Cricetulus griseus: one gene and its partners. The protein of the gene in region 2 interacts with the protein of the main gene of each other region in a pairwise test. Links are inferred from orthologs where the notes say so. Each region holds a gene or a part of one and is shown on either strand. Other genes may lie near its edges. The genes, in order: Slc35b4, Creb3l1 and FXYD domain-containing ion transport regulator 3.

Evidence for each region.
Region 1: the proteins of Creb3l1 (region 2) and Slc35b4 interact in binary tests that used the Homo sapiens proteins (3 or more experiments, as listed by UniProt). The two-hybrid records come from large-scale screens. The link is inferred for Cricetulus griseus from reciprocal best matches to the Homo sapiens genes CREB3L1 and SLC35B4.
Region 3: the proteins of Creb3l1 (region 2) and FXYD domain-containing ion transport regulator 3 interact in binary tests that used the Homo sapiens proteins (3 or more experiments, as listed by UniProt). The two-hybrid records come from large-scale screens. The link is inferred for Cricetulus griseus from reciprocal best matches to the Homo sapiens genes CREB3L1 and FXYD3.

What each region holds. Positions count from the first base shown.
Region 1 is NW_023276806.1:193,809,317-193,813,575, reverse strand, and holds part of Slc35b4 (UDP-xylose and UDP-N-acetylglucosamine transporter), read right to left. Parts: intron 4,059-4,259; coding exon 3,998-4,058; intron 2,574-3,997; coding exon 2,464-2,573; intron 1,187-2,463; coding exon 1,111-1,186; intron 1-1,110. UniProt on the Homo sapiens protein: Antiporter that transports nucleotide sugars across the endoplasmic reticulum (ER) membrane in exchange for another nucleotide sugar.
Region 2 is NC_048599.1:84,749,780-84,754,038, reverse strand, and holds part of Creb3l1 (cyclic AMP-responsive element-binding protein 3-like protein 1), read right to left. Parts: intron 2,605-4,259; coding exon 2,526-2,604; intron 607-2,525; coding exon 449-606; intron 1-448.
Region 3 is NC_048602.1:4,719,738-4,724,096, reverse strand, and holds the start of FXYD domain-containing ion transport regulator 3, read right to left. Parts: upstream 2,848-4,359; coding exon 2,808-2,847; intron 1,413-2,807; coding exon 1,380-1,412; intron 1,293-1,379; coding exon 1,269-1,292; intron 522-1,268; coding exon 447-521; intron 356-446; coding exon 319-355; intron 111-318; exon of another isoform or gene 60-110; coding exon 22-59; exon of another isoform or gene 1-21. UniProt on the Homo sapiens protein: Associates with and regulates the activity of the sodium/potassium-transporting ATPase (NKA) which transports Na(+) out of the cell and K(+) into the cell.

The DNA of each region.
Region 1 (4,259 bases), on a different chromosome or scaffold from region 2:
TGCCACCCATCCCTCTCTCTCTTCTTTTTGGCTCCTCTTGGGTTGGCTGACTACCCATCCCCCTCTCCCTCCAGGTAAATAAACTCCACGTGGGTTGTTCATCCGTTGTTCCTTTCTTTATATCAGCAGCTGCAGCTTAAACAAAAGAATAACACTGTCCATGCCTTCATTCACCTTGATTCCAGTCTACACTAAGAGTCAGAGCTCTGTGGGGACTTTCGAGATCTTCACAACTATGGTATTAATAGTGAGAAATGGTGCTTTGGAAGTCAGAGCCTTGTGGACTCTTTCCCATACTACCTACTTCTGTAACACATTTTAGGCCAAATGACAGACACAACGCTGCACATGCAGAGCAGGCCCAACACAGTACAAAATGATTTACTACCTGTGGTGTTAACAACATAAACCTTTGATTTAAAAAAGGGTTTTCTTTATTATTATTATTTTTTTACATTCTAATCCCAGTTCCCCCTCCCTCCCAAAAGGGTTTTCGTACGTGTTCACCTATCTGTGTAACATTCCTGGATGATCAGATTGTACAAGTGATTGTACATCTTTCAAGGTGACTGTCATCAATTTACCAAGTAGGCACTTGAAGAAGCAACATCTTACCTTCATATATTCTTTTTTTAAATTTCATTTTGTTGGTAATTAATTTATCTTGTTTATTTAATCTGTAGCTAGGGAAATAAGCCCTGTCATCATTTTGCTTCCTCTTGCTTGGTGCCAAGGCAGCCTAGATCTCTGAGCAGCTCTGCCTTTCATGGCAGAGGACAGACACAGAGACAGCCGGCTGCCACCCAACCTCAAGGGCTCCCGTTCCAGTTGAGTGCTGGTACTGCTTGTCTGCATTCTCAAAACATGTAACAATCCATGTTCAAATACAAACACACAATCCCAAAGGAAACGAGGAGAGGTGAGGATATTCTTATTTGCAGGGAGCAGGAAAGAGCACAGAGAAGCCCTTGCTGCTGGGACTACTGACTAACAGCACCATCCATCTGGACACCTGGAAGGTGCAAAGGTTCTGATGAACAGGAGATAAAGCTGTAGTCGAGCCAAATGCAGAAACTGGCAAGTAATACTGCCACATGACCCCAGACTTACCAGACTTATTGAACAGAACAACATGATCATAAATATCAGAAGCCAAGAAGATGAAACCCGGGAGTGGAAGGGCGTGCTGTGGGAAGAAACACATCACACACAGGTAAATACAAAGCAACACAGAACAGCTTTACGATGACTTGAGGCTGTCCAATTAGCAAGTTAGCCCCTCTAAGGTAAATTACCAGTGCCTTGTGCCCTTGACACCATATGGCGTGACATCTTATGGAGTCTGATGGTCACCAACGAGAAAACCAAAGAAGTAGGGTCCTCCCTTCCCCCAAAGGGAAAGGGAGGCTTCAGCAGTTATTCTGCCCCAAAAGACTTGCTCCATACTGGATTTGAAAATGACAAGGACCACACAGATGGCAAAGAATTCAGAAATTAGTACAAAAAGAGATTTGAAGGCAGTCTGAGGTCAGGGAAAAACCAATGATGCGATGAGGCCGAAGAGGAAGAGGACACAAAAGGTCCCTGACAACCACCACCCTCCTCACTACAGCACTGCAATGTGAGGTCACGTCACGTGACCCTTGCTGAGCTGTCACTATGCTTGGCATTGTTCTCAATGAAAGATACAAGCCAGGGGCTGGAGAGATGGCTCAGCGGTTAAGAGACCTGGCTGCTCTTCCAGAGCCCTCTTTTGGTGTACAAGCACACATGCAGGCAGAACACTGTATACATAATAAATCTTTAAAAAAGAAAGAAAAGAAAAGAAGAAAGATACAAGCCAAATAAAATGCTTACTTTTTAAAAATCCCTAGCCACAAACTCTAGCTCCGCGTGAATGTGTAAAACTGCCTGTTCAGATTAATTGTACAGAGAGGGAACTCTCTCTCTTGCCCTGGCCTGGGACAGGGGGGTTCTCTGGACATATTTCAATAGCAATGAAGGAGGGGTAGAGGGAAGCTACAGGAGAGGGTGCTAGGTCACCCCTTAAAGCGAAGAAGCTTGGCAAGTGCATGCATTGAACTGAACAATCATGTGAGCACAGCCCCTCTGGGGAACTCAGGCCCTGAATCCCCACCCCCCATTGACATCACACTCCTGACTTCCTGCCTTGGAACTCATTGTCTCTTTCTGGATTTCCATATTAATTTTAACAATTTTACCTACAGGGACTCTGCAGGCCTTGGCTCCTTGTTCCTTAAATGTTTTATTTGGTAGATCATGATCATCTCAGATGATTAACTCAAAATACACATTGTCCCCTGCCTAAAGTACCTCAGTGCACTGGTCTCTGGGCTGGTTACTAACGAAAATACAATCTGTCAGTTATGGTAGGACTTCATTCTGCATAACACATCATAAATCAGAAATTTTCACCTTCCCAGGGTTCAAAAAGTTACTTACATTATAAAATAATGCCTCCTTGGAATGTTTCCCAAACTGTTTGTATAGAGTCTCTTGGAATATGCCCATCCTTGCTGACATCAGCAGGGCAAAGGTCAGTGCTCCAATGCCTAAAAATCAGGATCAGGTTACAAGGTGCCTTTTGGTCTACTTTCTTAAGGTGACAGTACTATCTATAGTTCTGTAACTGCCACACTAGGACATGCAAATTTCAAAACCACAATGCTACCATGAAACCCTCTCTAGCTTCCCATTTCCACACCCTTACGCATGTTTCTGTCTACCAAGATGGAGTAAGAGTGTCCACACCCTTTACACCTGGCTTCTCTCTTCCATGGGTTTGGAAAGTGTGACTTAGGGCCCACACGTCACCCTATCACGTAGTTGCAACACAGTTAAATGTCTTGCAATGAGACCAGTTAGGTTTCCAGTTATTTCTCTGAAATCAATACACGGAAATACTTAAAATGTTAGTTATTTCCTTAGGATAATTTTTCATAAATGGAACTGCTGAGTCAAATGTTTAAAAAAAAAAACCGTTAAGACCTTTAAAAAACTCAATACACAATGTTTTTTGAAAAAGGCAATCGATTATACTCTGTCTACTAACGGCTTTTATGAAAATGGCTGTTACTGTACACTCCTGGCAGTGACAGTCATTTACCATCTTGCCCATATGGTAAGTCACAAATGAAAAGTTTGGTTTTCTTTGATTACTAGGGTAATTATTAGCTTACAAGGGTAGATTACTGGACATGAATTTTTGCTATAAATTGTACGTTCATATCTTTGAGAATTTTCCTATTGGGTAAGCATTTTCCCTGTAGTGCAGAGAGCTTTTCTATGAAGAACAGCAGCTAAAGGGTTAAAGTCCAAAGCCAAGATACACAGGCTTTGCTGCTATTTTCTTCCACCCAATCAGTGTGACTCCACTCCTGTTACTACGGCAAACATTTCCCCTCCAAACTCAAGTGAGGATGAGGCCCTGTAGGAGTTGTCTAATTAATTCCACACAGAGATACTTGTATTTTTAAAAATTCTCAGGAGAGTTGATTTGGGAACACTGTCACATGGAACACAGTTAAGTTAAGAAGAAAAAAGCCCCTGTGTCCCTGGGAAACTGAGAGTCAAGAGTTCTAAGTCACCCTTTTTTTTGCAGGTACTTCTACTCAGTGGACTGGCCACTAGGAAACAGAAGACTCCCTATACAGTACTCCTGAAGAGAGTAACAGACCTCTCTATGCCAGTGATAACCATGGGAAACGTGGACCCACGTAGAACACGATGCCAAAAAAAAAAAAACAAAAAACAAAAACAAAACAACAACAACAACAAAAAAACCCCAAAAAAGTGAACACTGGCCTTTTAACTTTTTGAACACTGAGATTCAGAGACATATTGGTCCCAGGTGCCACTCTCCTCCTTGGCATAATTTGTTTAGCCTAAACATCTTGCCAAGAAACATGTCCCACCGGAGAAAACTCAGCAAACAAAAGTGCAGAGGTAATTAGCTTTTTGTAACTGCTGTACTTGCCCAGTAACCACCGTGCAAATGCCTGGAATCCATCCTTCTCATTCAAGCTGGACTGGGAAGTCTAGGAAATAAGAAAATATACTAGGTACAGAGGCCAGAATGGCAAACAACATCTGAGATGCAGGGGGATATTTATGCTTTCCACTTCCTTCTGCACCTCTTTCAGAGTTTAGTTCCTGTATTATGTAAGCACTCTAATTCCTTTATTAATAGATACCTGGTAAGGGGCCCGATGACAAGTAGTGAATACAAATGACTCTTA
Region 2 (4,259 bases):
CCCAGTAACATGCATCGAGTGTCAGGGGGGCTTTGGGAGGCCCCTTCCCCGCCCTATACTAGAATCCGTGCTCTCATTTCCCCAGGTCTTCGGAAACAGGTCCCTCCCCATAATCTCAATTTAGGATATGCCCTCAGGGTTTGGGTCTCTTTCCATGTTGCCCCCAAACAGTGCTCCTTGGGGATAGCCTGGGTCACTGCCAGAGTACAGAAATGTCAGGTTCTCAGCTCCATGACAGTATGGCTTCTAGGCCTTTCTGGAACCTTTGATTTCTAGTCATCCCAAGGCAGAAGTGAAAAATGCCCCCTTACTTGCCAGAAGGGCATCTCCCTGTATCTAACGGGATAAGTATCAGATGTGGGGTATCCTGACCCCTTCACTGGTCATGGCACTAGCTGAACGTACTCCTTATCTCACCTCCAGGGTCAGCCCACCCCTAGGTGCTTACATGAGGGGCAGTGAGGAGCGGAGATGTGGAAATGGCCGTGGAGGAGCGGGCCATGGGCCGGACAGGGCTGGAGGGGGGCAGAGAGCGAGGACTCTGGGAGCCATCACTGTCACTGCCATGGCTGCTGGGGGGTGTTGGAGGCATCTGTACGAGGTCCTCTGCAAAAAGTAGAGGGCTAGGTTAGTATAGTAGGGTTGTACCCTGTGTCTGTGTGACACTGAGTTCAGCTGAACATGAGCTGTGCCAGCCCTGTCACCAAAGGAATGTGCCTATAGGCACTTAACCTCGGCTGGAGTATCAGAAGGCCCTTGGCAGTCCCAGGAAGACATCTGGCACACAAAAAGATGACGGCTGAGTACTGCCTATCTCTGATAGCTCAGAGGAAGCCCCCTGCAACCTCGATGAGGGGCTCCTGGGCCATATGCTTCCCTGCCTGTGGCTCTGCAGGATTCAGGTTCTCTCTAAGCCAAGAGGGGACTAAGGTCCCCACGCAGATCCACCGGGCTCAGGTGGACCAGTCCTTACCCTTTCCTTTCTCTGACTCTAAAATACTGATCCAATCTCAGGAACAGGATGGCAGGTGTCGGGATTGCAGCAGAGTGGTGAGGAGTGATGCTCCTCCTCCACACCGTCCCCTTCATGGCTAGAGCAGCAGGACGACTGACACTGAGCAAGCATCAGAAAGAGGTGTCTCAGGCTCAGCAGCTAGCAGAGATGCTGGGAAAGTTCTGGGGGTGGCACATAACTCCCAGGTAGCTCTAGGTGTGGAAACCTGGGCTCCATGGCCATGGAGTGGAGGGTTTGGCGCAGGTTGGCACCCACATCAGGCCTCTCTCCTTCCTCTGATGCTTGTGTGTCTCTTATGGATCCCACTCCAAAAAGAATGAAGGGCTTGGAATCCACAGACCTGAGATCAAGTTCTGACTGTAATGACTCCAATACATGTGGTCTTGGTGAGCTCCCCAGCCTCACTTCCCTCATCTACTGAATAAGGTTGAAAAAAGTCAGCTCCAAGCCGCAAGGGTGCAGTGAGCTGGTAAGTGGGGGAACTGCTTTAGGAACTCCACAGTACGAGGTGACTTAACACAAGTTCTTTCTCACGCCTTGTCTGTGTTCTGGCTGCTCTTCAACATGTAAGCACCAACAGTATCTTATTCATATGTCCAGTTTTACAATACTTAGCCCAGGGCTTGACACATGTATATAGATGTTGAATCAGTATTCACAAATTAATGTGGTGAGATTGGAATGATTCTGCTACCCTTTCTCATTCCAGTAATTCACAGAAGCTGACCATGCTCCCTCGGCCCAATGAGCTGTACAGGCTCCCTGTGGATTTGCTATCTGCACACCCATATCACTGCTGAGTCTGTGACCCTAGGAACCATGTGATCTACTCGGGTACAGAGACTGTCTTCTTTCTTTGCTTTGGCAATGCCTGGAACAATTAAGATGGTACCCAATAAACGTTGGTTGGACGGATAGATAAACGGGTGGGTGTTTAGGTAGATGGTTACATGGGTAGATGGATGAATTTATGGATATTTGGTGGATGGTTTGATGGATATATGGGCATATAAATGGTTGGTTAGTTAGACGAATGGATGAATGTGGAGATGGGTGAATGAGTAGATGAATGTATAGATGTGTGGGTGGTAGAGTGAGAGATGGATTCATAGATCGATGGATAAGTGGATAGACAGATGGGTGGATGGATGGACGGATATTTGGATGGATAAGTGGGTAGATGGGTGGATGGATAGTTAGATGAGTGGATGGTTGAGTAAGGGATGGATGTATGGATGGAAGGAAGGATGACTGACTATAAAGTGGCCTTCAGTTTGTGAGTGGATGTTAGAAGATCAGCAAATGGACTGGCGTTGGTAGAACGATGGCAGCTGAAGACTGGGTAGAGAAAGACTGGAGGAAAAAGAGGGAGCATAGATAGCTAAAGAATTCTCATTTACTGGGGAGGTGAGAACATCTGGGAGCGAAGTGGGAGTTCTGAGGGACAGGCGTGGTCTGGACAGAGGGAGTGCCTGTCTGGGATCAGAAAGAGTCTCCTGTACATACTTACCTGGTGTCACTTTGAGAAACTGGCTCACTTCTGGGGGTTCTGCTTTGATCACTGGCAGCTGAGTCATTTCTCCTGGGGCCTGAGGAAGAGACAGGTTCAGCTCCATCACCTGCCCAGGGGAACAATCCTCATCATGTCATTCACACTCCTCCCTCCCTCCGGAATATTTGGAACAACGGCTGGTCTCAAGAGTCCTGGGCTCAGCCCAGAAAGAACAGAGAGGCAAGTTCTTATGCTTAGACAAGCCATACTACACCCAAGAGCAGAGAAGGTGGCTACACACTGTAGGTGAGAACTGGATCTCAGGAGGTATGCATAGTTCCTGTGGCATCTGGGGCCATGCCAGCTTCCAGGTAGACAGAGGCTGCCCCTTCACCAACTATGAAAGCCATGTAGGCCTTGGTATGTGGTTACCATGAGCACAGGAGGTCATGTTAGTCTCACTCTAACTGTTGGATGAATGAGAAGAATAGTTCAGGAGGAATTAACTGGCTAAGGCTCAGAGAAAGTTGAAACATGACATGGATCCTGGGACACAAATTGAAGTCGAGTACATATAAGGAAGCTTGCAGCAGTGAGAGCCCTTGAGGGGTTTCAAGTAAGGCACAGGTGAAAACAGATGTACATTTTTTTTTTTTTTTTTGAGACAGGGTTTCTCTGTTTTTCTTCGTGGCTGTCCTGGAAGTTGCTCTGTAGACCAGGTTGGCCTTGATCTCACAGAGATCCGTCAGTCTCTGCCTCCTGAGTGCTGGGATTAAAGGCACAAGCACCACCACCACCCAGCTCAGATGTACATTCTTATTTATTTAAATTCCAAAGTATTGTTCTAGAAAGGGCTTCAGGAACATGTGTGGTTTTGTACATGTGAACATCACCAACATGCCCGTTAATGGTGATCTCAGTGAGGAGGCTGTGGCTCTTGGGATTGTCTCTCCCCACTGGGTCTGCTGGTAGCAGAGATCACTACACTGTGTGAGGGACAGAGTGATGAACTTAGAACAATGAGGAAGAATCAGGGATAGTGCTGGGTGTCCAGGAACTTGGCCATACCCTGGTCTACACCCAGCTCAGTGTCAGCACTACAGATGAGGGGACTGTGATGGAGAGTGGCAGAGGCACTTTAGTGGTTCATATGGCTCTCTACAGACTGGCCCCAGTGGCCTGCACTGGTTATAGTGGGAACCCTCCACTCTAGGGTCTGACAGACCAAACTTGGAAAGCGGCTTCGAAATTTCTGACTGTGATTTGTGGCTTAACTCCTGGGAGCCTCCGTTTCCTTTTCCACTGTGATCCCTTCCTCCCCCTGACTTTAGCTAAGCCAGTTCTGGAATCCCTAAGGATGTAGCTGGTTGTCAATCAGCTCCCTGGAACCTTGGGAGCAGGAAGGGTGACCTTTCTTGCTTAAGACTGCTTACTTTGAACCCAGGTGGTCAGCAGGAGGCAACCCCCCTGCCTAGGGATTAATGTTTGTTTGTTTGTTAAGCTATAGAATTTTAGGCCTTGTGGCTTGCACCTTTTACATGGAAGGAAGCTGAAGAAAAAAGAGAGAAGGCAATGTGAGGTTCCCTATACACTCTGGAAGTGGACGTAGGGTTTGTTATGAGTGCAGCTTATTAATCTAAATACAGACTAAAATATAACACTATTTTTTGCATTTACATGTTCATCTTTCTCCAAATCCTGAAACTTAACAGGAAAGGAAGTACCCCCGGGGTGGGGGGTATCTTGACTTCA
Region 3 (4,359 bases), on a different chromosome or scaffold from region 2:
CAGTCATCCTAAATGTCTTACCTGGTGTGATGAGAGGTGGCCCATCCCCTGGACGGTGACTAGAAAAATAGAAGTGATAATATACAAATAAATCCCTCATTTGTCCTCAAGTCTCAGCTTGCCTAGCTATACGGTTTCTTGGCTGGTTTTCCACTGTAGGTTTGTACAAAGCTAGGGACCAAAGCCTTCTTAGGATAGTTTGCATGAAGCCAAGCCCAGAAGACCTCAGGGCAGAGCCCCCAGGCCTGTGCTCTCTTTGCACAAGGCTTAGCCCTTTTGGGCGTGCCCAGAACCCGTCTCGCCCAGAACCCGTCTCACCTGGGCTTCTGGCTGAACTTGCATTTGCACCTTCCACCTGTTGGAGACGGATGTGGTCAGAGGGAGGAACGCAAGTCCCTGCCCTGTTCACCCCCCACCCCCCCGCCAACGGCCCCTCCTGTACTCACTCAAAAGGACTATGATGCCCACGGCACAGAGAATCCCTGCACAGATGAGCCCGCCGACTCGGAGGTTGTACCAATCTGAGAGGGAAGCAGAGAAAATGTCAAAGACAGCCTATGTCCCCCACCCAGTCTATCTAACTTGAGAGCAGTGAAAGGGAAAAGCAAAACCCCAGCCCAGTAGTGCGCACATTGCCGTTCCTAACCAAGTAAACAAGATATTCCATGTCCATTCAGGGACAGAGAGGCCATCTGAAGGGAAAAGATCAGTGTGGAGACAGGAAGTCAAGATGAGGGTCTTTAGAGAGAGTGACCAAGCAAGGGCTCTCTGAGAGGGTCCCACTGGAACGGAGATCTGCAGGGAGGCAGAGGTGGCCCTGAAGACACACGGAAGACAGTGGTCCAGGCAGAAGAACCAGCAGGCGCACAGGTCATGAGATCGGCGGTTGCCTTCTGTATCTGAGGATGATAGCTGGAGCAGGGGTGAGGGTCCGTGGAGAACGAGAGGGCAGGGGGCAAGCGGCAGGGGGAAGTGGAGAAGAGTGGGGTAGAATTCCCTACCTTGTCTGGGAAAAGTTTCATGACCAGCATTCTGGTGTTTGGTCTAAACCTAATGCCTCTTGTGGACTGGACTCAGTCCTGTGTCTGTCTTGAATTCCCCCTCACGGCTATTCCTGTAACCTATCTGGATGTTCAACCACCCATTTCCCACCTTCTCCTGTCGTGGTCCCTGGGTCACTGTGAACTGTCAGTCACCCTTGTGTGGGCCGCTTGGCACAAAATAATGTGTGGGACTGAGAAGAAGAGAGGAGGGGACACGGTTCTTACCATAGTAGAAAGGGCTGTCCTTATCTGCAAAGAGAGACAGGACACACCCATGAATCCGAGGCGCCAGCAGGGTCTAGGGTGAGGGGGGTGGAGGGGTGGGCTCTGACTCACCTTTGGGGTCATTGGCATCCAGAGAAGGCAGGCCTGTGGGGGCAAGTAAGGACAAGCGATGACTATGGTGGCCCTAGAAGGGCCCTCAGCAGGATCCATGGAGGTTTGTTGCCTGAGGGAAAATGTTCCATGTGGAGGTGGGGGAGCAGCCCCACCTCCAAAGTGTACAGGATCTAGCTGCTGGCTAGTCCCACCTGGACACGCGCCTTCATGGAGATGTGGGCTCACTCACCCACTCCTCACCTGTGAGTCATGCCAGCATTTTGCCACCGGAAACCGATCCTACTCCGGGTACATTTTGGGACTGTTTGAGTGAATGTTTCCAGAGGCTCTGCCCTTCCAGGTAGCAGATGGTCTCTGTTCCCAGGACAGCTTTCTCCACGCCAGCAATGCCCACAGCCCACAGCCCTCACAGCCACACCCCACAGTTAGCAGGGCCGCTGACCTCTTTGAAATAACGCACCGTTGGCAACTTCTATTCATTCTTACATTCCTTTCCCAAACAGAATGAAACTTGTGTCCAAAGAATGGTAAGGTAAAAAGCGGAAAAGCAGGGGTGGTGGTGGAGAGAGATGGCCCAGTGGTTAAGACGACTGATTGCTCTTGCAGAAGACCCGAGTTCAGTTCCCAGCACCCACATGATGACTCCCAAACATCTGTAACCCTGGTTCCAGGGGACCTGACACCCTCTTCTGGCTTCCACAGTCACCAAGCACTCAAACGGCAAAACTCACATATGCATAAAATAATATTTTTAAAAAAGTGGCTAGCTCCTCAGAAATGATGCCAAAAGCCATCCCCTGGCTGCCACACCCCAGGCACACAGACATAAGCACACCTGCACACATAATGAACGCACATAGTCATGCACACACAAAAGAGGCCGAGGGGGGAAAGGAGGAAACACGACAGAAGCAAGGGCCAAGGATTAAATTCTGGCTGAAGCTTGTTCAGCTTCGTCCCGGGCCTGAGTTCTGCTAAAGGGAGAAAAACAATGCTTAATTATATTTGAGGCATGAATGCCTGGGGCCCACTCCACCCAGGCCCTGCCATATTGTTGTTCAAACATTAACGCATTGAAGCCTCACGAAGGCCCTATGACTATGTGCTGTTCTCTGTGTTTTCAGAGGAGGGGAAACTGAGGCTCGAGGCATTCCAGTTACCTGCTACATTGCTGCTAGGGTCCTAGGCACAACTGGGAAGGCCATGTAGGGAGGCCGTGGCACACAAGAGTACCGGGCCGAGCCTTTGGCTTGCTGTCATCAAAAATTAAATGGCATCTCCCCACATGCACGAGGCTGCGAGCATGTATGTATGCATACGTACACACACACACACACACACACACACACACACACACACACACAGCTTGTCACCACACAGCTGAGAGGTCCAAGGGAAAGGGCAGCTTGGTGGCCTGATACCCACCTGCTAGGAGGACCAACAGGCTCAGAGCGACCTCTTGCATGTTGCAGCGTTGATCTAGAGGAGTCCAGAGAACAGAACTTTAGCGGGGTGACCAGGACGCAAGGCCCCGCACCTCTGCTTCTCTATCCCACCCCGCTGTTCACCAGGAGCACAGCCCAAGGTCCAGACAGGAAGGCTGGTAGTGACTGGTGCTCACTCACAGGCTGGGAGATAAGGAGCCCCAAAGTCAAGTGGGGGCTGGGTGAGAACTCACGCTCCACAAAGGAACAGCCATTGTCATTGTCATAATGAATCTGTTCTTGGAGAGAAGAGGTGGAGTGGTGTTTTGCTACGTCCGGGCCGGCCTTGAATTTGCCATCCTCCTGCCTCAGCTCTCCAAATGCTAAGGTTAGAGGTGCCCACCTCCACATCCAGCTTGTCACCCCTATCCGTATGATGGGGAAACTGAGGCTCTAAGAGATGAAAGCTGATGGCCAAGATCACTTGGTCCAGAAGGCAGGGTTTCAACAAAGCCTCGTCCCTCACTAGCTGTTCATAACTCAGAACTGTGAGGGCCTCGGGGTGTTTTGGGGAGTAGGGTGTCAGGAGCCAGGTGGCAAGAGGCCCGGGTTCCGGGAGTGGCTCCCACAGACAGCTTGGAGCCTGCCCAAAACACGCTGCCGGCTTCTCTCTGGGGCCTGAGCAGATTCCCTGGGCTCCTGGGTGGGTGTATGGCAGAAATGATGCCAAGTTGATGGGGCGTGTGCAGAGGGGGATCCTGGCTTTAGTCTTACCCTGTCTCCTGCCCCACCCTTGGGTCTGTCCCTTCAGACCCCACTGGGCACTCTCTCAAGTCCAATCTTTGCCCCCTACCCTAGCCTTCACCCTTGACTAGGCCTCTGCGCTCGCTCCGTATTATCCCAGCTCTTGGCCCTGTTGGGCTTCTCTCAGCAGCAAACGCTCCACAGTTCCCCAGTGAGAATCACTCAGCACAGGGCCCCTTCCATACAGCGCTGGCCTAATAGTCTGCCTTTCCGTTACCCTAGAGGCCTCTAGTCAGCTCCTTCTCTCTGAGCACCTCCCCCACTTGCCCTGCTCACCTGTCGTGAGCTCATGTACACACACACACACACACACACACACACACACACACACACACACCACACACACACAAGATAGTGAGTGCTAACACTTGTCCCCATTCCTCACATGCTGGGCACTTTGCAGTGACCTTGTACGTTCCCTTTTCAATCCCTAGCAGCAGCAGCCCCAGCGTCACCCTTCAGAGCTAAGCCTTTTTACCCACAGGAAAGCACACACTTGTAAGGAATGGAGCTACTGAGGGTGCAGGGGTGTCCCATATGCTCTCACAGACTTCTCCATCTCCCTGGGCTCACCCCCAGAGGCCTGGGAAACCCTTCAGCTTCTCTAGTCATCTAAATCGGCCCAGGCCTGTCAGGCAAGCTACCAGGGAAGCCAAGGCAGAAGATAAGCTAATTCACGGCCAAGCTAGGATACAGAGTGCAAGGCCGGTCTGAACAATTTAGTGAAATGTCACAAAATAAAAGTAAAA